4 linked regions of the Arabidopsis thaliana genome follow. The protein of the gene in region 3 binds, or shares a complex with, the protein of the main gene of each other region. Each region holds a gene or a part of one and is shown on either strand. Other genes may lie near its edges. The genes, in order: AT5G03500, NRB4, AT3G52860 and AT2G10440.

The links.
Region 1: AT3G52860 (region 3) and AT5G03500 share a complex: the UniProt entries of both Arabidopsis thaliana proteins name them as parts of the mediator complex.
Region 2: AT3G52860 (region 3) and NRB4 share a complex: the UniProt entries of both Arabidopsis thaliana proteins name them as parts of the mediator complex.
Region 4: AT3G52860 (region 3) and AT2G10440 share a complex: the UniProt entries of both Arabidopsis thaliana proteins name them as parts of the mediator complex.

Annotation. Positions count from the first base shown.
Region 1 is NC_003076.8:875,894-880,163, reverse strand, and holds AT5G03500 (Mediator complex, subunit Med7), read left to right. Parts: upstream 1-1,788; 5' UTR 1,789-2,390; coding exon 2,391-2,414; exon of another isoform or gene 2,415-2,497; coding exon 2,498-2,638; intron 2,639-2,720; coding exon 2,721-2,790; intron 2,791-2,963; coding exon 2,964-3,130; intron 3,131-3,219; coding exon 3,220-3,293; intron 3,294-3,430; coding exon 3,431-3,491; 3' UTR 3,492-3,724; downstream 3,725-4,270. UniProt on the Arabidopsis thaliana protein: Component of the Mediator complex, a coactivator involved in the regulated transcription of nearly all RNA polymerase II-dependent genes.
Region 2 is NC_003070.9:5,430,611-5,438,165, forward strand, and holds the start of NRB4 (mediator of RNA polymerase II transcription subunit 15a-like protein), read right to left. Parts: upstream 6,009-7,555; 5' UTR 5,744-6,008; intron 5,743-5,743; exon of another isoform or gene 5,604-5,742; coding exon of another isoform or gene 5,546-5,603; intron 5,320-5,545; coding exon of another isoform or gene 5,312-5,319; coding exon 5,199-5,311; intron 5,075-5,198; coding exon 4,963-5,074; intron 4,787-4,962; coding exon 4,669-4,786; intron 4,569-4,668; coding exon 3,183-4,568; intron 3,084-3,182; coding exon 3,013-3,083; intron 2,891-3,012; coding exon 2,816-2,890; intron 2,488-2,815; coding exon 1,204-2,487; intron 1,092-1,203; coding exon 747-1,091; intron 603-746; coding exon 396-602; intron 302-395; coding exon 1-301. UniProt on the Arabidopsis thaliana protein: Component of the Mediator complex, a coactivator involved in the regulated transcription of nearly all RNA polymerase II-dependent genes.
Region 3 is NC_003074.8:19,591,347-19,594,603, forward strand, and holds AT3G52860 (mediator of RNA polymerase II transcription subunit-like protein), read right to left. Parts: upstream 1,423-3,257; 5' UTR 1,396-1,422; coding exon 1,176-1,395; exon of another isoform or gene 986-1,175; coding exon 870-985; intron 787-869; coding exon 652-786; 3' UTR 502-651; downstream 1-501. Other genes in the region: VSR1 (vacuolar sorting receptor homolog 1), read left to right, coding at 37-149, 249-344; AT3G52870 (IQ calmodulin-binding motif family protein), read right to left, coding at 2,019-2,459, 2,566-2,667, 2,796-2,888, 2,986-3,132, 3,219-3,257. UniProt on the Arabidopsis thaliana protein: Component of the Mediator complex, a coactivator involved in the regulated transcription of nearly all RNA polymerase II-dependent genes.
Region 4 is NC_003071.7:4,013,209-4,019,686, reverse strand, and holds AT2G10440 (mediator of RNA polymerase II transcription subunit), read left to right. Parts: upstream 1-1,640; coding exon 1,641-1,762; intron 1,763-2,099; coding exon of another isoform or gene 2,100-2,126; intron 2,127-2,261; coding exon 2,262-2,364; intron 2,365-2,450; coding exon of another isoform or gene 2,451-2,517; intron 2,518-2,614; coding exon of another isoform or gene 2,615-2,673; coding exon 2,674-2,786; intron 2,787-2,876; coding exon 2,877-3,001; intron 3,002-3,044; coding exon 3,045-3,437; intron 3,438-3,479; coding exon 3,480-3,574; intron 3,575-3,666; coding exon 3,667-3,741; intron 3,742-3,865; coding exon 3,866-4,837; intron 4,838-4,924; coding exon 4,925-5,239; intron 5,240-5,316; coding exon 5,317-5,481; intron 5,482-5,523; coding exon 5,524-5,642; intron 5,643-5,724; coding exon 5,725-5,935; downstream 5,936-6,478. UniProt on the Arabidopsis thaliana protein: Component of the Mediator complex, a coactivator involved in the regulated transcription of nearly all RNA polymerase II-dependent genes.

The sequences.
Region 1 (4,270 bases), on a different chromosome or scaffold from region 3:
AGAGAAAAGATGAGAAAAGAAGCAAACCCAAAATAACTTTTGGTGAAGGATTCCTTTCTGGAAGTTTTGGTTTGCAAGCCTGGAACCACTTGTTGTTCTCTTCTTGTTTTTATTTTTTTCCTTTCAATTTTTTTTAAATGATTTTCTCTTTTTTTGGTTAACTTTTGTTTTGCTTGTCTTATGAATCACATAAAAAAAAATACTAGTATTTTACTTATTAAATACTCATAAGCATCCTTATAATTTCAAAAGACACACATCATTATAGCTAAAGTAACAAAAATGTGGATTCAATGTCAACACTAATCTTAGAAGATGTTATTTTATTTTCTTTCTGAAAATGAAATTAAATCTGTGTTTTCTGTTCAAGAAGGTGTCATTCTACATATACCATTTTTTCTTATTAATAAAATGAACTACAATTTTGACACTTGGAATGTAATGTATTATATTAAGAAGAATCAAACTGGATTGCGTATTCTAAATATGCCACTCAATTTATTGATTTTTTTTCCTTTGATTTCACATTATCACTAACTAAAATCCTAAAACTTTATAAATAATTTTATATTGATGGCTTGAGTCATCCACAAGTAGTTTCAACACGAAACACAGTACCACAACACACACAATTCAAGCATATTATAAATTCCTGCAAACTTATTACGTTTTGTAACAAATTACATTAAAGATTTGAAACCAACTATTATATATAAAAGCTACTAAAGTACAAATTTAACTTGAAAATACGTCGAATTCTGTTTTTGTTTCTTAATACTACTAATCATTGCGGATATATGTACACTTAAGTTGCTGATTAAATAATTAAGTTAATTAATTGGAAAGTAAAAGGCAATCGAATTTTGGGGTCGAGCAGTTCATGTGCAGTTGAGCCAACCCACAATTACACAACACACAATTATGAATCATGATTCTAGTTATGTATACAATATTTAGTTATAATGATATTAGCTAAAACGAATTAAATATATAATATCACTCCCTATGTTTGCGCCTCTTTCTAAGAAACTTTGATTTTTATTTTGGTTATCCAATTATTTGATCAAACCATTATTAATCTTGTGATTAGCTAATAATATGTATTCGATGAAGTAACCTCCCTTATCGTAGTTTGTAACTGTAGTCTAGGTCTTTGTAGTATAGTATACTAATAAACTCGGTGACAGCAATTTATAAAATTCAAGAAACACATGTTTTTTTAATATTCATTCTACATAATGAGTTTCTTAGAGCTGGATTGATATCCAACTTTTACTCATTCAACTCTATACACATTAGTTGTCTTTGGCTCTCAATGATTATCTTTTGCTAACGTGTTACTATACATACAATAGATCATTAAGAAGAATATTTTTGAGTGTATTGTGAAGCTAGTATCATCACAATTTTAAAATGAATAAATCAGGAGGAATTGATTTAAGTCTTGGCGTCGAGGATTGTGTGTGTGAAAGAGAGATAGAGAATTGCTTGGCCGCCAAAAGAAGCCATTACTTGCCAACTAGCTAGCTTCACTACTCAACCTAAGCAAAGCATATACTTTATAAATAAATAAATAAAATCATAAACATAATTAGTCGTCACCCATCATACATTCATCATCACCATCCTAACAAAACCTTTTTTACAAGGCTTCTCAAAAACCGTTAAGTAGTTGTTGCAACTTGCAAGGATCACCTAAACAAATTATACCGAAACTTGCACAATTGAATTCCAATATTTTAAAAACATTTTTCTTTTGTCATTTGAAGCATATAAAATGGTTCTGAATTCTGATATAGGTGGGTGGAACAGAGTCTTCCCCCATATAGCAAATCCCTCAACGGCTCTAGAAATACGTTTTAAGCTTCACGAGGAATAAGAAGATTAGGAATATATGGGCTTAAAGCAGGCCTGAACTAAATTAAAGGCCCAACTAAAAGAGAGGAAACAAATCTCGATTTGCTTTCTCTGGTGAGCGTGTCTTCTTCCGATCGTCTTCTCCGGCTGCGTGAATTCTCCGCCGAGCCATCTCTCTGGCGAATCTCCAGTGAGTTCTATTATTTTCACTCTGTCTTTTATGCTTCCCGTGAAAGGGATTTTTTTATTTCTCTCCCTCAGATTCTCCTTGTCGCCACCAACTCATTCGTCTCCCTACCCATTTGTGGCCACTGGATTTTTTGTATTGACCTTTCTTTTTTCCTCATGAATCAATTGAAATCTACTGTTAAGCATTTGACGATTTTGGACAAATTGGTGGTGATTTAGGAATAACACGGTTGTGGTGGTGGCGGCTACTTCAACGTGACGATGACAGATTAGTTTCTAGTGATGACAGATTAGTTTCTAGTGGTCGCAGAGTTATTTGGTAGTGATGACATAGTTGTATTCTAATGAGAACAGATTGTTTTATGGCGGTAGACGGATTTGTTTTTGATTAGAAACCCTAATTTTAGGAATCTGTTACTGATTTTGCTTAGTTTTTGATTTGGATATGTAGAGAATAATGGCTACAGCTACATATCCACCTCCTCCTCCATATTACAGACTCTACAAGGATTTCTCAGAAAACACTGATTCTGCTCCTGAACCTCCTCCTCCGATTGAAGGCACCTACGTCTGTTTTGGAGGCAACTATACTGTGAGTCTCCTCCACATTTCCCCCTCTTTAAAATCTTCATCTTTATGTGTTTTTAGCAATTTTCAATTTTTTTGGTTAGTAGACTGAAGATGTTCTTCCAAGCTTAGAAGAACAAGGAGTGCCTCAACTTTATCCAAAAGATTCTAATCTTGGTATGTCATTCTCCTAACTCTGTGAAATCAAACTCAAAATGCAATTGCTATTGGCTGTCTAGAGTATGGTTTTTGGTTCTTCCCTTCATTGGAATCAAACTTATTACATGAGTTCATTTGCAAGTTATGTTCTTTGAAAGTACCTCTTTGAGTTCAAATATCTTTGTGTGTAGATTACAAGAAGGAACTCAGGTCACTGAATAGAGAACTACAGTTACATATATTGGAGCTTGCTGATGTTCTTGTTGACAGACCTTCTCAATATGCGAAGAGAATTGGTGAAATTTCTTCAATCTTCAAGAACTTGCATCACCTTCTCAATTCCTTGAGGCCTCACCAAGTAAAGAAGCTCTCATCTTTCGATTAATTACAACATGGTTTCAACACTTTTTGTTTTTTCATCGTTTTGATCTTTCTCTTGTTGTATAGGCGAGAGCAACGCTTATTCACATTATGGAACTTCAAATTCAACAGAGGAAACAAGCTGTGGAAGACATTAAGAGGTTTGTATATGCTACTTAAGTTTTCTGTCTTTATGGTGTGTTAATAATTTAATATCAATCTATCATCTGTTTAAAGATTCTTCAGAAGCTTTGTTGGTTGTTCTTATGGGTCCGTTTGATGTTTTGGTTGTGTGCAGGAGGAGAGAAGAAGCACAAGGACTTCTTAAGGATGCTTTCGTCACTTTAGATGGTCAATAAAGTATACTTTTTGTTAATCCCATTTTGTGTAAATTAGCGCTAATAACCTATGCCCTCGAAACTTTTTTTAATTGATCCTGTGTGTGTGAGAGAGAGAGACAGACGTGTGCAATCTCATGATTCAACAAGTAAAGCCTATATCATCTTTATTCAATGTTACCCGTGAACCGGCATTTAGTTCCGCCGGTTAGTGCGGTTCAACATTTATTATTACAATTTCGGCTTAACGGGAACTATTATAACCATAACGGATTCATAAGAAGATTAGACCAATATGGGCTTAACGCAGGGCTAAACTAAATTGAAGACCCGACAGTTTGTTCGTAACTACACGTAAGTATCTGAACAACAACAACAGCTTTATAAGGGAATCAACAAAAAATAGTTGAACAAAAAAAAATTAACCTTGTTCAAAGCTAAATCCTGTCAAATATCTTTGGAACCCTAGCAGTCGGTCTTGTCAATTTATCATCAGCATGGACGAATCCGCCATCAAAGTAATCTTCTTCTCCTTATGGACTCTCCTCTTACTCACTCTATTTCTCTTCACAAGAGGATGGAGATGAAGATTAAGATGGATATGGACAGGAGAAAGAGGATGGAGATGGAGAATTAGGAGGGAGATGGAGAATTAGGAGGAGACGAACCTCTTTGTTTTTTTATAATGTATTTACCTTTGTTTGTTTTTGTCTTTGCATGTTAAAAGTAAGTAAGCTCAGTAATCATCACCTGCCTTGATCATGTATGATATGTCATTCTCTGGATGTTAGAAAAAAACA
Region 2 (7,555 bases), on a different chromosome or scaffold from region 3:
GAACCTTGCCATAGCTTTGGACGACAGGTCCTCGTTTTCTTTGCTGTTCAAGAAACCAGACCGTGTTACGGTAAGAAGATAACGCAGTTTCTAATAAAGGGTTTCTAGTAGATGATTCTTGTGAAGATTTTAACTGTATCGTAGAAGTTTGCTCGACTCGGTACGGAAAATCTATGGTTCTATTTACTTGAGACTGAAGGATTTGCTTGTACCTGGTTTCGACCGGGAGTTTATCTAGAAGAGATGGAGAGCCATTGGGGTAGCTACAAGGAACCAGCAGACGCAATGGTTGAATAGGAGACTGTAATAGAAGCACAAAGCATATATTATAAAAAAGGATAAATGAAATATTTTGTTTCACAAAACGTTAATGTTAACGAGATGACCATGTTTACCATTTGTGTTGATGAGAGATGAGCCTTCAAGGCTGGGCTGAGAGAAACAGCTATAAACGAGAATCTAACTGTTGTTCCTTCACACCCTATGCTTGATATTGCAACCTCACTAGGATCAGCAGCATCTTCATCATCACTTATCTCAACAACTGTATCTATCAGCCGCTGGTTTATTTCCTTTATTTCCTCCAAAAGGGCATGCTCGGTCTGCAGTTCAAGATTGAGTCTTCAAAAAAAAAAGAATATCGAAACCTTGTGCTTCCAAATTTTCTTTGTTACGTGTGTGTGTGTGTGTGTGAGTGTGTGTCAATATTCAAATATAGCTAGGGGAAGTCTAACTGAGTATCATACCTCAGTTCTTGCCTTCTTGCCATCCGAAGTCGCAGTAGATTCTAGATCGGATGTTTCTGAACCAGCAAACTGCTTGTAGTTATCACCAACACTTCCTCCCAGTGAAGCAACGCTTAGTGGCATTGCGGTTGTGTGACGCTTCATTTTCTTAGTCGCCATCATTCCCTCTTGGGTCATGAAGTTTCTTGCTTGGAGACGGCACTTAGTCATTGCAACCAAGTCTTCACCAACGGAAGCTCTTGAACCGTTTCCTGGTGCTGAACCAGCTATCCGATCAACCATGCTTACAACAGATCCGATGTCACTTACTGCAGAAGAAAGGGCTTGTGGTGAGATGGACTTCACCTGAAAGCAAAGCATACATCATAAGCAGAACAATGATTATATTACAAAACGGGTTTGCAGCAATATCACCGTCCTGCTGCGATATACCCTTAAAAATTGGAAATTTACTTACGGCTCTAATAAGGCGTTCAATAGGCAGCTCAGTAGCACTCGGTTTTCCAGATGTAATTGTCGAAGAATTTAAAATATTCCCATCAGGACTAGTAAACTCCTGAAGGAGAGGAGAGGCAGAGATCCCTGGAGTGCCAATTGCTAGGGACTGAACTACACCTTGCATGCCGGTTGCTTGTTGGCGTGCAATATTTCCCATTGACAACGAAGAAGAACCAGGTTTCTCAGAGTCAACTTGCATAGGGGACGGAGCCAAGGGGGTTGAAGAAGGAGATGGGACAACAAAAGGGGAATTTGCAGGTTGCAATGGAGTTCCCATCTTGTTGACAGTATTTTTCTGGTCAACCTGAGGAGACAAATGTTGTGACATCTGAGGAGATGCACCTTGCAGAAGTTGAGGCGACGAAACAGCTCCTGGTTTTAACTGTTGAAGAGGATAATTCGCACGCTGACCCTGCATAGAATGTTGCTGAAACATCCCACGACTGACATTCATCCCCTGCCTCGATGTTAAATCATTCATATCATTCATCTGCTGTAATTGTGCCGCTTGCTGTCTTGCTTGCAACTGTTGCTGTTGCTGTTGCTGTCTTGCTTGCAACTGTTGCTGTTGCATCTGGCGCTGTTGAAATTGCTGTTTGAGCTGCATTTGTTGATCTTGCTGTTGCTTGAGGTGCTGATGCTGAAGCAAACTGGAACTTAACTGGGGTTGATTCACATTCGACTGCAGTGTGCTCAACCCACTTTGAGCAGAGGCAGAACTGTTATTTACTAGTTGAGAAGTATTTTGTTGCATAGATCCCATGGCAACCTGCTGTCCATTGTTCAAGGTATTTCCTTGGCCTGATTCTAAACTAGAAGCCGGTATGGAACTGGGAATGTTCTGCTGTGGAGCTGAAACTCCAGGACGAGATGATAGAACATTGCTCTGCATATTTGTCATACTACTCTGTTGTGCCCTTGGCCCAGCACCCTGCATGCTCATTGATTGCATCTGCGGATTTGTTTGGTTATCATGGGATTGATCTTGAACTGTCTGAGATTGTGGTTGCTGCATAGGCTGCATCTGAGATTGCGGAAGCTGCCCTTGCTGTACTGGCTTCCTCGGCCTGTGCATATTTAAGAAACCTATAATCTGCTTCTCATAATAAGCCACCTTATCTTTTAATGCGGGCATGATGTTGCTCTTTGAAACAGATAGAAATTGTATCATTCGCTCCAACATTGTTTTGAATTGTCTCAGTTTCTCAAGCTGATCTGATCTTTGTTGCTGTGGCATAGAATCCTGCTCCAGATACAAAAATAACTTACTAAATAAAAAAGAAACAAATACATAGATGCAAGCTACAACTTCTGTAGGTTTGGGAAGGAACATAAATATCAGCAGGTTGATTTTCTAGTAAACTGTAAGAATACGAGTCTCAAGATTCTTTTTCTTTTTCTTTGTTAAATGGGTAACAAGACTCCAAAGTTGATGACGTTCTTATGCAATAACGAACCGAACTTGCATTGAATTCATAAAGCTTCTCAGAAGGTACTCACTACTGTTCCAGAGGACATAGACGTACAAACGATTCTCCTAGTATAAAAAAGAAAAGAAAATTGTAACTTACTTGCTGCAACTTTGCTGCAACTCTCTGGTAGATTTCATTCAGATCTGGTAAGTAAGTCTCTTTCATAGATTTGATCTACAAAGACAAGCAATATGGTCATATGATTACTCATTACAATGATATCTATCACTTGAAGATTTAATAAGTGTAGCCATAATTGGTAAAGATATATAGCAAACACAAAAAGAGAGAACTACCTTTTGGTAAACCTCCTCTTGCCAATCACCTCCATTTGCACTTTCCGTCTGTGCTGTCGAATCCAGCGATGCTAAGAATTATAAAAACGAAAATATGTTCAGCATCATATCCTGCTGAGAGATTATGGAAAATATCAGAACCTAAAGTATTAAAAGGATCAAAAGCATACATGATGGCATCTCCGGAAGGGTTCTTTGGGATTGATATAGTTGTCTCTGTTGGTCCACAACATTTTGAGGTGGAAGCAGGGAACCAGTGACTTGGCCTGAAGCTTGTAGCCTTTGTTGCACATCCTGTTGTAGCAGATTAGGTTGTTGTTGCAAACCCAGCTGCTGATGATGCGATTGAAGCTGTGGCATCATCTGCTGTTGTGATGGCTGATTTTGTGACTGTTGTCCCTGAGAAGAATACAAGCCATGGCCAGCCTGATGTGTTCGTTGCAGCCCAACCGTTGGTTGTGATAACATGTGCACCGAGTGCTGGTTATTCTGCAAACTCGAATTGCCAACCTGGGAATTGAGCATCTGTTGTTGTGGTTGCTGCAATCCTGCAACATTGCTTTGAGTGCCCAGTGGGTTCTGATGCGTTGCCTGGAGGCTGTTTTGTTGAGACATCAACTGCTGCTGGGCCGGTGGCTGCTGTTTCTGCTGTTGCTGTGGCTGCTGCAGTGGTTGCTGCTGCGACTGCTGCTGTTGTATGTTCATAACATTATTTTGTTGGTTCAGTAACCTTTGCTGATGTTGCTGCTGCATATCCCCAACAACATGCTGCCCCATCATCTGCTTCTGTTGGATGCCTGAGCTATTTGCAGCTTGTTGCCGCATTAATTGTGTAGGCTGCTGCTGTAGAGGAGAAATTGATTGTTGCGGCAATGAAGATTGCTGCTGATGGATACCAGAGGCTTGTTGTGATTGCGGATGTTGCCTTAGCATCGACGATTGATGCTGACGAAGCATAGATTGTGTCGTCTGCTGAGAAGACAATTGCGGACTTGATTGCTGATTGGTGTGGAGACCTTGGAGAGGAGCTGAGTTCACAGTGGAGGGCTGAGTCGCAGATGTTGGAACACCAGGTTGTTGAGATGAATGCAGTTGATTAGGCTGCAGCACATTTTGCTGCTGTTGTTGAATGTGTGATGGCAAAAGCGAATTGGGATTGGGAACATTCCCTGACTGGAAGTTCTGCTTGAGAAGTTGCTGCTGTAGCTGCTGCTGGTAAAGATATGGCTGCTGTTGTTGCTGTGAAGACATAGCATGTGGCCTACCCAGCATCTGCCTTTGGGGTCCTGAAAACATGTTCGAGGAAAGGCCATGCTGCCCAGATGAATCTTGCAACATTCCAGCTACATTTTGCATATTGGCATTCTGGTTCACAACGCTTGTGGTGTTATTATTGGTTATGGAAGAAACAGGTGGCATGGAAGATGGTAAAGCAGTAGAACCCGTCATTCCAGAGGCAGTATTATTCTGCATGGTTTGGGACAGCAACGGCTGAGGTGCTTGAGATTGATTGGTTGATAACGATCCTGGAAGAAGTTGGCCTTGATTGGTGGGTACTATTCAAGGAAAGGTTAAACAGCATCAAATAAGAGGAACAATTAGCCATAAAACCAGATAAACAGACTTAAGCAATTCATGCTTGAGAATCGTGATTACTCGAATCTATGGATGTGCCATTATTAGCGGCAGGGATAGCTGCGGAAGAACCAGCTGCATTTTGTGATTTAGTCTCCATTGTCAGCATCTTCATTGATATTTTCCGAAGGTAATCAGTCTGAAAGGCGATATAAAAGAGTATCAGGAAGGTATACATGGATTTCATACCCAACATATTGTGGCTTAGCTTTACAGATACCGAAAGTCAGTTCTTTTCCATGTTGTGGAGTCCATTGCCTCACAAATCTCTATATTTACCATACTAACGAAACAAGAATATATGTTCATAATAACCTGGTTAAGAGCACCGCTGAAAATTTTCTCCTCGAATCTAGCTGCAATTCTCCTGAGCTCGTTAATTCCCTCTGGTCCGGAAAATGGAAGGTGCTTCTTTAGTGTTTCCATTCTGCGCAAGTGGCAAGCAAATAAGTAAAACAAACAAACTAACTATTGGTCAAGGAACATAATAACCTTCTATTTCTGTAGTATTTGACTGGCATAGACAAAACAACGCCGCTAGAGTGACTTACATCTTGTTGACGATCTTCTGACGAGAATCAGGTGGCAATTGCGTTCTCCAGTCACCTGTATCCATGGCAGGCTCTCCGTTTGGAAGAGAAGGCCTCCAATTGTTATTATCCATCAAGTTTTCTGTGTTTACAAGCCATGAAGAGCAAAGTATCAATAGTAAGTATACAGAGAAACCAAAACATGACAATATAACAACTGATTATCCCAAATCAACAGGAAACAAATGACCACACAACATGGATTAGATTAACACTCAGAATTTCTTATTGATCAGCCAAAATGTTCATTCTTTCTAATGTTGGTAGCAAAAAGCAATAAACTCAAAACATCAAATAGCCAATCCCACCGGAACGAGAATCCAGGAACTCAAAATAAGCAAACTTTATTACATCAACAAAGTTCATCTATTCTCGTAATTGTAATAAACCAGACCCAACTACAAAGGGAGATACTTTATCTTCTTTGGAATCCCGATCAAAAGAGAAAACTCTAAAAAGCAAGGCTTAAGAACAACAGAAAAAAAAACGAGATTCGAACATTTCACCTCAAATTCAGAGCCAATCAAGGAGATTTGGCGTTTGACGGAGTCAAGGTTGGTACAACGATTAGGGCTTGATATTAGGAAAACAGAGGAGAAAAAGGGGAAATTGGAGCTGGATTTAGGGTTTAGCTTGATCGAAAAACGAATGAAGAATATAGGATCTTCTAGGTAAAGAGACAGAGGAAACTTGTTCGCGTCGTAAATCATAATCGAGCCTACCAGTTCGCTTATAACAAGTTTTTTTTTTTTTCAAAATAAACAAAAAAATCTAGTATTAATTACCACATGTATAATTGTATAGTTTTCCCAGTTCAAATATGGTAGCATTGGTGCAAAATGTATTAGAAATTTGTTAACTAGATAATATGACCACTATTTTTCAATTTTAAATAAATTATATATTTTTCGTTTCATTTTAGAAAACGTTTTAGAAAAGTGATTATAAAGTGATAATAAAATTAGATATAATAAAAGTACATTAAGTCACATATGTTGTTTACGTTTTTTTTAACAAAACAGCATTTTTTATTAATAATTTTATAGGTTGGAAAAATAAACCTTACTAGATTTTAACCCGCGATACACCGCGGAGACAATTCATTTTTAAAAATTAATATATATAAAATTTGTAAATTATTTTATAGTTTACCATTGTTACTAAGTAACGTCCTGCCAAATCCGTCCTACCAAACATGTCCTGCCAAACCCGTCCAAAAAAAAAACTATTTATTTTATTAATGTTGATCTTATTTATAATATGTTTATGAATCATTGTCAAAATATTTTAGTCGTTGCGTGACATTGAACCCACACATTTTTCGCCAATTGGTTAATATATGTTCATTCTTAAAATTTCGAATCACAAAATATGACGAATTTTTTTTTGAGATTTTTTAAAACTCTATATATTATATAATGATGTTAATTTTTTTGATAAATTAAACTTTTTATAAATTCAAATATTGATAATGTTTTATGAAGTTTAAATATACAAATAATAATATTTAAAAAATTAATATTTTTTGCCTTTTAGGTAATGATATAATAACTCTAAAAGCAAGAATTTAGAAGATTTAAATCCTTAAATAAATATTTTCATGCCTAAATAATTAATGTCAGTAGTATGACATTGTAAATAAGTTCAAATACATGATTTGTTTATTTAAACAAAAAACGTTTAGTAAGAATAATATTTATTTAAACAAAAAACATTGTTTTAAAATATAGTTAATAAAATACGTTTATGCTAATTTTAAGGGATTGATGTGAAGTTTGTTTGGATTAAATTTGATTGATAATGTGATTGACAATTTAAATTAAAAATTTAAAGTAAAATTAATTATTTTGGAAAATATTTAATGTTAATGGCATTGGGTTGTAAATAAGTCCAACTCTAAGATTTATTTGCTAAAATGACTGCAAAAATGTATATGTAGATAGTTAAGGAATAAAATCCTTAATAATCTGATTTTAAAAATAAAAGCAAATAAAGACGATTTTCAATTAATTTTGAAATACATTTGTGTCCTTTCTTAATTCAATTATTTTAACTGTTTTGTTAATGAACTATGATATAAATATAATCAGACTAAAAATTTTTTTTTTTTTATAACTTTTTTATTATAGGGGATTTTAGAATAATCATCACATAATATTCATCAAACAAAACACAAAACCGGTTGAAGGTTTTATACATATTTAACAAATGTAAATTTCAGTATCATTACCTAAGAAACAATCAAACTCACCTAACTTGTCAAGTGTACATGTCCTATAAGTCAAAAGAGAAACTTTTCTTATGACAGAGGTTGTCTA
Region 3 (3,257 bases):
TCAGACTTTCTGCTTTTGAATCTGGTGAATGTGTAGGTTCAGGCAAAGTTGGAACCACAAAACTCAGCTGGAGCTTTTTGTGGATCCTTATAATCGGGGTGGGTGTTGCAGGTCTTTCTGGATATGCAGTCTACAAATACAGAATCAGGGTATACGATGTTCTTTACTCTGGTCTTGTTATCATATTAAAACATAGGAAGATTTTGCGGTCTAGATAGAGATGCTAAGTAACAATTGAAATTATGCAGAGTTACATGGATGCGGAAATTAGAGGGATCATGGCACAGTACATGCCATTGGAAAGTCAACCACCCAACACAAGTGGTCACCATATGGATATATGAGTGAAGTTATCAACACAAGCCAAGAGACTCTCTCTCTTTCTATGAGTAGCTTTAAGTTTCCATGTAAATGAATCAATGGACTTGATACAACTCTAGAGAAAAGAAAAAAGCCACAAACAGAAATAAGTGTACCTGCACTATTTGTAAGAAATGTGGATTTGCAGATGGAATCTCCTTTTTGTCTGCATATTACTCTTACAATGTAAAATAGACATAACTGGATGAATAATGAGTGTTACATTATTTACTGTTGAAACTAACTTAAGATCCATAAGAAGAAAAACAATAAACTTTGATTGAGAGATTGTTAAACTTTCTCCAGCTCATCTCTGTGTTTCTCAATCTGTTCTTTCACAAGCTTCTGCGACTCTTGGAAAAGCCTCATGTGCTTCTTTATAAGCTCATCTTTTGTCTTAAGCTCTTCCTCCATTACTGCAATATCCTGTTAAGAACAGAACAGAAGAGAGCAGAAACTGGTAAGACAATATGTGTTTGGAGTTTTCACATTGGTAAATCAAACCACACCTTCTTAAGGCTTTCAGCTCTCGAGGGCGCGCGATCTTCTCGCTTTAGTCCCATGAAGTAAAGCTGAAGCTTTTTCGCAGCTTCCATGAAATCTCTGGCGTGCCGCTCCACATCAACTGCAGCAGTTCAATGAGGGGAATTAAGCTAGAACATCGAATATGGAATCAAAGCTTCGGTTTCAACTGAATTCTAAGCACAAAATTCACTGAGATCATAAGTTAAGCACAAAAACAAACACAACTTCCAAACTATCATTCAAACTAAAACCCTAGAATGGTGAAATTGGAGAGTAGAAAAGGGACTGACTTTGATGAGAAGGGTGAGGAGAGCGATCGATGGCCTGAAGCTCTCTCGCCGGCAAACATGGTAACAGAGCAGCTTCCAAGGCTGTGACGCAAGCCATAATGTCCTCTATGTCATTATTCTGATTGTTCGAGGGGGTCTCCGGTGATCTGATTCCCGGTGGACGGTCAGGCGGTGACGGCGAAGGGTCAGAAGACTGCGGCGGCTTTTGCTGATAATCCATTCACGCCGATCTCGATCTCTCTTTCTCTCTGCTTGTTTGTTTGCCCATAAGGTTTAGTGAAAAATATTATAATGGGGGCCCATTTACTGGATTTAATTTGGGCTTATTGGGCCTTTTCCACATTCTTAATTGTTCTTAAGAATATCATTTTGATGTAATTAATTGAAAACACTGAAAATTCATTTTTAATAAATATATGAAGTAAATCATTTATTTCATATGAAAAAACAATAGTAAGGAGAAGGAACAACATTTTCTGATACTTTACTCTTGATTTGATGTCACAAGATATAACAGATGATGGCTTTTGTAACAAATTTTGATTCCTTATGTAACTTTTTATCTCCATCAAATTAGATAAGTTACATCCTTACTTAAAGATTTTTTAGCTATGGATTTTCTAATGAAATTTGTAAAATGAGTAAGCGATTGACTAAATACTGTAACCATTCTCTTCATTATCAGTGAAAATAGCTTTTAACACATCTCTCATTCTCTTCCTTCTGATTCACAATCATCCATGTGAAAAGATGACAACAAAAACCTTAGATAGAGAACTCACACATTAGTTACAGAAGAAAGATTCTCATTTACTACTACATAAGGAAGTACGGAACATATGATCAGACATCAAGCTTCCCGGTCGGAGAAAGTCTGCTACTCCGGTATTTAGGAGACAAGTTAACAAACTCCAAAGCCTGTGTTCTGAGCTGAACCGGATAATCAGCTGCACAACCGATTCTTGGACCAACTCCTGTCGACCATTTCAGTGACAACTGATGTCCCAATTGTAATGATCTTGACTGTTTCTTTGAGTTTATCCTTAGTAGCATAGATTTCTGCGGCACGTTAGCTTTTGGACTCCCAAGTCCACCTGAGAGTGTTCTCTGGTAGCTACTCCGTTTTGCCTCCTCAAGTGTTCCCACTGTTCCGTTACCGTTCTCATCTGTTTCAGTCTCTGCTTGGAATGTTGTGTCCTCTTTCTTTAACGGTTCCGGTTCAGATCCTCCGTTGGATTTAACATAATCATCGTAGCTGTCAGAATCTTCACTAGCTTTATGCACCTACACATACATAGATATATTAGCTCTCAAGTAGTCTCTTTTTCTAAACAACCAAACTCTAGTTAATGATATCATTCACCAGCCAAGATTAGAACAAGGGCATTACCTCAACATTGTCTAGGTTCACTGCGTTCTCTCTGAGAAACCCGAGAAATGTGTCGAGACTATCGTCTGACGGCCTGTAATGTCCGCTATATGCAGAGATTGTCTGAGATTAAACCGAAAACAGAACGATCAAACAGAGAAATCACAGAAGGCAGACATAATAAAAAAGTTGATATGAATGAACATGTATCTCAACCACTCTAAGAAAAGGACGTGGCCTTAGTAAGTTACCTTGAGAACTCCATTGTCAACAATCACCCTCCCAGCAGCTAATGTAGCTCCTCCAGCCAAAAAGCTTGAGTGATGGAACCTTCCTTTCTTTTTCTGAAGTAAACATAAACAAAGAAAAGAACCATTAGAATCTTTTTCAATACTAATATCAATTCATCACCAATAGAAAGATATAACGGTTTTAACTTACCAGACCGGCATAGAGTTTCTTGAAAGTACTCATAACAAAGATCCATTTTGTTCCTTCCGATCCATGCATTGTGTGTAAGAACTTTCCAGTTAACTTGTGAACAATCTTCCCTTCTATGATCACATACTCATACTCTTCCCTCTCTTGCTGATACCAGAAAAGGCTTATATGAGAGAAATCCCAAAAACAAGTAAAACCAATATTGACATAAGAGAGGAAAAAATGGCACATACAGGTCCAAGATATCTAATGCATTGCTGCTTAAGCTTTGA
Region 4 (6,478 bases), on a different chromosome or scaffold from region 3:
CGCTTATGTTACGAGCACGCAATGTTAACCTTATCAAAATCATAGAAATTTGATCTCAACTCTCAAGTCACCATCATCCTCCACTATCGAGTTCACCATCGTTGTAGTTTGTGGTTGTGGTCCCGATCGTGTTAAGTGGTGACGTGAAGTTATCGTCACGTAACATCCAACCCTAATCATCACCATCTGAGCCACTATTAGCCTTCTTCGTCCTCCTTCTTCACCGGAATCTAGATCTATCATTGGTGCTTTGTTTGGGTCTGTGATACCGAATCCTCTACTTCTTCGTTGCAGAGTGAGATAACGGTGAAACCTTATTCTCGTATTCATGTTAAGGTGTTGTGTTGTTTAATTATTGAACCAACCTAAACCAAGGGATTACGTATAGTTACGGCCATGAATTGAAACTTGATTATTAAGGAACCTTTTGAGTTGATCGGTTATGGCGTCAGTTGGGTTGTGTTAGTGAAGAAGACGATATAGTCAGTTATTGGCTTATTAGAAAGCGTTGGGTTAATTGTCAAACCAGAAGTAGCATTGACATGTACGTGATTTGAATTGTGGCGTTGGTTTAATTATTAAACCGGGGAGTATTTGGTCACGTAAATGGATGTGGCGTAGTCAATTACGTGTTAAGCAACTAATATTAAATTATTAGACTTGGTTTAGTTATTAGATTAAATAACAAATTATTAAGGGAATATAATCTTGATTGATTAATCTAAATTGTTGTAGTTTGAGATCGTTGTTGAGCCGGATCCATTGTTGCTAGTCCTATTTCTTAAAATCCAACCGAGTTGCCAAGGTGAGGGTAGGATCTGTGGAAACATAGTATCACCTTTACTTTTGTATTTCTGAATTTCATTTGTATAAGATTAGACATTGGGTGCTGATTGTTAAAATGTTAGGATTATATATTAAATATTGTTGATTCAGTAATCAAACAATGAATTTGTACTAAGGGATTTAGACAAATTCACTCCTCTCTTAGCTCACAAATAATCAAAGGAAAAGAACTAGGTTGCTTAAACAAAAAGCTAGGGTTTGCTCTGTAATAGTAGTCTCTTGTATTAGGTTAAAGATGATCTCAATGGGGGGTTTGACCCCTCTATTTATACAATAGGTCGAATATACCAAAATATGATAAACTTCTAATTATCTTAGGTTTAAATCTTCATTACTTCTATTCTTCATGAGATCCTCTTCTCTTAAATGGAAGTTTTCCCTTTACACGACCTAAGAAGTTGGTTATGGCGATCTTGATTGTCGACTTAAGTCTTCGGGCGATCTCATGACTTAGGCCCATTAACAGGCTAACCGGGATACCCCGGTTCAATCGAATTCTCGATTTTATTCACATTATTCCTCGGTTTAAATTAGTATTGTCGGAGGTGCTAATTCCTGCACCAACAAATATTATAATACGTGTTGTGTGATATTATGCGATAGGTTGTTAGCGTGATATGCATATTGATTTTTGAATACTCTTTTGTCGTTTTCTTGTACTATATATTTATCTGTTTTGTGTTACCATGTTGAGTAATTTCTCTAATCATTCTTTTGTTTGTTTGTTAAGGTTTAGCGAGGCGGTTCTTGGTCAAAGCCTATACATACATCTCCCCGTTAGGACGCATAACTTAATGGAGGGAAATACTAACTGGAAGCCTAATGAACAAGGCGGAAACCGTGATGCTGCGAATAATCGTATTGATTGGAGATCACAACATGAGCCTGAATTACGGCAAAAGGTTCTTTCAAAAATGTAAGCCATTCTTTCAAGAGTTTCATGTTTCTTTTGTTGGACTCATTGTTCTTATTTGATTATTAACATTCATGAAAGAGAGTAAGGTTTTCTTGGTCATGCTTTCGATGTGATATTTGTAGTTTGCGCATGATAAAGATTGCAACAGTTAAAGCATAAGAGTTGTGCATAAATGTTTATCATAGTTGACAAAACCTAACTTCAACCTTTTGTACTTTAAGTTTTGCATATTCTTTTAACCTCATTACCTGCATTTAGGCTCTTCCTCACTAGGAGAATCTTGTTTTACTCTCGCTTCTATGTACAATTGCTTGGCACATATGTATAATTGTTTCAGTGTTTGTTCGCTAAACGATTATCGTAAGTTCGAATATTAACTACGGATTATTTTCTCTGTTTTGTATTTTTAGTGCAATTAAAATGGTATCACTTCCTCTTGAATATCAGTTATAACCAAATTCTTCATAGTCACTGATATTTTGTTCTCATGTATGTGTAGAGTTGAAAAGTTCAAGGAAAAGTTTCATGCACATGAAGAATATAAGATTAACGACATCGCTTCCAAATTTGAAGAAAATTTTTATAGCATAGCAACCGATAAGGTGTTAAACTACAAATTGTTTCTCCATCTATTAACTTCAGAATCTGAATTTGATATCTTACTCATTGTCCCCTTGCTATGTTTCAGAATGATTACCTTAGGAAACTCAGTGAAACACTGCATTATATACAGAGAACTTACACTAGAGTTCTAGGTAATAAGTTTTTGGTTTCATAATTATACTATTTTAGCTTAATAACAAAGAAATCACTAACTAACTTTTTTTTTCTATGTGTTTATCTAAACATCAGCTTCTCAAGTAGTTGTGAATCAAGCTCAATCTCTTCCCGCCTTGTTGCCATATATGCAGACTACAACGAGCCAACAATGGTTACAGCAAAACACACAGAGCAATCTCTGTGTCATCTGCTTTGCCAAGTCAGGTCCCTATAACCGTTCCCGGTTCTCAAAGACAGATACATGGTAGGCAACAACTTCTTCCTCAGCAGCAACAGCCTCAAATGAATCAAATCCGCCATGGTAATTTACGACCTTCGCACATGCAACAACAAGCTCGGTCACCGCAGCCGCAACATCATCCGCAAAGTTTGTTGAAACAACCTATTCAACAGCCTTTTCCTCAATCAAGCTAACAAAACACTCAATCACTGACCAGAAATCAGTTTTCGATACAACGGGTCAGTTTTAGTCATCAACAACAGATGGTTCTGCCGTCTCAAGAACAGAAACGACAAGAACAAGAGCAACTCATTAATCAACTGACGAATCTTCCAACATCACGACCAAACAATAGAGACCAACAAGGAGCTTTTCAGGTATCCTCGTCTCAGCAGAACAATAATGTTACCTTACATGCAATGTCTCAACAGAAGAATAACCTCCAAAGTATGACTAGAGGTCAACAAGTAGGACAATCTCAACCAATGATGTCACAACAATACCGACAACAATACCCCATGCAGCAGGATCCTCAGAACAGAAACTTACAGAAACATTTGGATTTTGTACAAAACAATACCAATCAATTTCAAGCAGCAAGTTCGTTGCGCCAAACACAAAACATAACAGATCAACAGAACCAGCCACAACAATTAGAGAGAGCAAATCCATCTAGTATGTTTCCTCTCTTACTAACTCTTGTGATAATGTTTTTAGTTCTAATAATGAATATCATTGTAGCATCTCAAGATTCTACGGGAAAGACGGTAAATGTCAATGCCGGAAACTGGCAGGAGGAGACCTATCAGAAGGTATCTTCACTTGCTTTGCTCTTCACTTCTTAACATCACAATTAGGGTTTGATTTTGTTTTCAATTGATTCCCATTCTGATATGTCCTGCAGATAAAAAAACTGAAAGAGATGTGTTTACCTGTTCTCAGTTTAATGCACCAAAGAGTTGCGGAAAAATTGCGGGAGGTACTTTATTTTATAACCTAATTGTTTTGCTTGTGGAACAAGAATTTGTTCTAATGGTTTTCTTAATCATTTTTTTTTCTAAAACTTTGTGTTGTTTTTGGTTTAATAAACCTAATGTTTCCAGACTGAATCTCTTCCGCCGCAACCGATGCAAGCTCAGTGGATTGAAAAGCTAAAGGCGGGAAAATTGTCAATGGAACACCTTATGTTTTTCTTAAATGTTCATAGGAGCAGTGTATCAGAGAAACATAGAGACAAGTTTAGTCAATATGAGTACCACATATTGAAATTTACCAAGAGTCAGACCATGGTTTTGAGGCCAACGCAGCAACAACAAGGACAATTTCCTCCTTCTCAAACAGCAATGCAAACCCAAAGTCCTCAAGTCCATGTGTCACAGTCTCTTTATAAGGAGCAAAGGAGATCACGGTTGATGCCAAGTAGCCAAAATGAGGCCTCGTCTTTGTTGCAAATAAGGCCTAAGTTGGATCCAAGAGACGAGAACATCATTATGGCTTCCTCAGGAAATGTCATGTTACCTTCTGTTAAACAAAATCCTCGGGCCGTAAACACAAATATCAGTTCGGTTCAGTCGTTGCAGAAGCAGAAGCGATTCCATCACCGACAAATGCAACAACAACAACCACAACAAGGGAATCATCAACATCAAATGCAGACAAATGAGATGAATGATGTGAGGATGAGGGAGAGGGTCAACATTAAAGCCAGGTTGCTTGAGCAACAAGTCTCATCGAGTCAGCGCCAGGTTCCAAAGCAAGAGTCTAACGTTTCATCCTCTCAGATACAGAACCACTCTTCTCCTCAGTTAGTTGACCAGCATATTCTTCCTGCGACGATTAACAAAACCGGAACCCCATTGAACTCTAGTGGTTCGGCTTTTGTTGCTCCAGCTCCATCTCCAGTTCCTGGAGATTCTGAAATGCCTATATCTGTTGAGTCTCCAGTTTCTGGTGTTGATGAAATAAACTCAACTTTAGATTCTTCTAGTAAACTTGGCACACAAGAAACTCCTCTGTTATTTGTTCCTCCGCCCGAGCCAATCACAGAGCGGCCTATTGATCGACTTATAAAAGCGGTAAGTAAACTCTATAGCTTATCTAAGTTTACTTTCTTTACCTTCTCCTATTTACTGACCTAATTTTTAATGTGTGTGGCTTTCTAGTTTCAAGCAGCATCACCAAAATCATTGGCAGAATCTGTAAGTGAGATTAGCTCGGTGATTAGTATGGTTGACATGATTGGAGGATCGTTCCCTTCTAGTGGAGGATCTAGAGCTGGTTTAGGCGAGGATTTGAGTGAGAGGACAAGAAACTTTACCACACACGAAGAAACAAATCTGTCTAAGAGAATGAAGCGATCAATCAACATTGTGCCGCCAGATATGTCATCACAAATTGATAGTTATGAACAGTTGAGTAGCCTTGAATCTGAAGTTGTTTCCACAACATCATCTGGCTTGAAAGTTAACAATATTGCGGTAAAATCTACTCTATTGGTATCGAACTACGAAAACAAATGAAACATCGAAATAAATCCATTTTTTCAATCTTGTAGCCTGGTTATGCCCTTTTGCAAGAAATCAAAGAAACAAATGGGAGACTTGTAGAGACAGTGGTAGAGATATGTGATGAAGATTCTTTAGGAACAATCGTCACTTGTACTTATGCTCCTGTGGCTCTCAGTGCCACATTCAAAGATCATTACAAGTCTGGAAAAATTGTAAGTTACTTCAAACTTCTTCTTTTTCCTCACTCTGCTCAGATTTTTTATGTCTCTAAATGTTTGATGCAGGCACAGATTCAACCTTTACGCTTACTATTTCCTATGGATTATCCGTATAGTTCTCCGATAGTTCTCGAGGAAATCTCCTTTGACACTAGGTATGAATCTTTCTTAGAAATCAAGTAACAACGATTGGAGTAAATATATATGATCTTAAGGATTTATATCTGCATGTTTCAGTGTACACAAGTATGAGGATCTATCCGCGAGAACCAGATCAAGGTTCAGTTTGTCCATGAAGGAATTTTCAGAACCAGGGTTTTCGAAAGGAATAGCTCAAACGTGGAATGATTGTGCGAGAGCGACAATGGTTGAGTACGCAGAGAGACATGGTGGAGGCACTTTCAGCTCCAAGTATGGTGCTTGGGAAACGGTTCTAAGAGCTTCATGAGGACTAATACTTCCTTTCTCACTCACCGTACAAGATAGTTTTTAGGTGGGAAGCCTTATAGCCCAAGTTAGGTTTTTTTTTATTTCCTTTGAGATAGAAGTAACATTTATTTGTATGGTGTGGCTCATGTCTTCTTATTGTATATATTTTAACAAGAAATTATAATTGTTTCAAAACCGATAGTATAATAAATTATCTTGAAATATTTAGGCACAAAGCCTTTTTTTTAAAAAAGATTTTAAAGTATTTTATTGTTTTTTCTTATTACATGTTTCATTTATAGAGCCCAAAAGGTTGGAATATAAGTTTTAAAAAAGGATTACAGAAAATGAAGCCAAGCCTATAAAACTAAATCATCCTTAGTAATTTAAACATCCACTCATAAAGATTTTGCTGATGAAACGTGTTGATGAAGTGTTTTGCCCTATGACACGGGCCGAGACGTCAAGCACCGCTGTTGAATTCGCGGGAAACCGCTAGAATTCACCAAAATGTTGAGAATCGTCTTTCCTTCTGTCGATCTCGAACCCATGTCCAAAAATC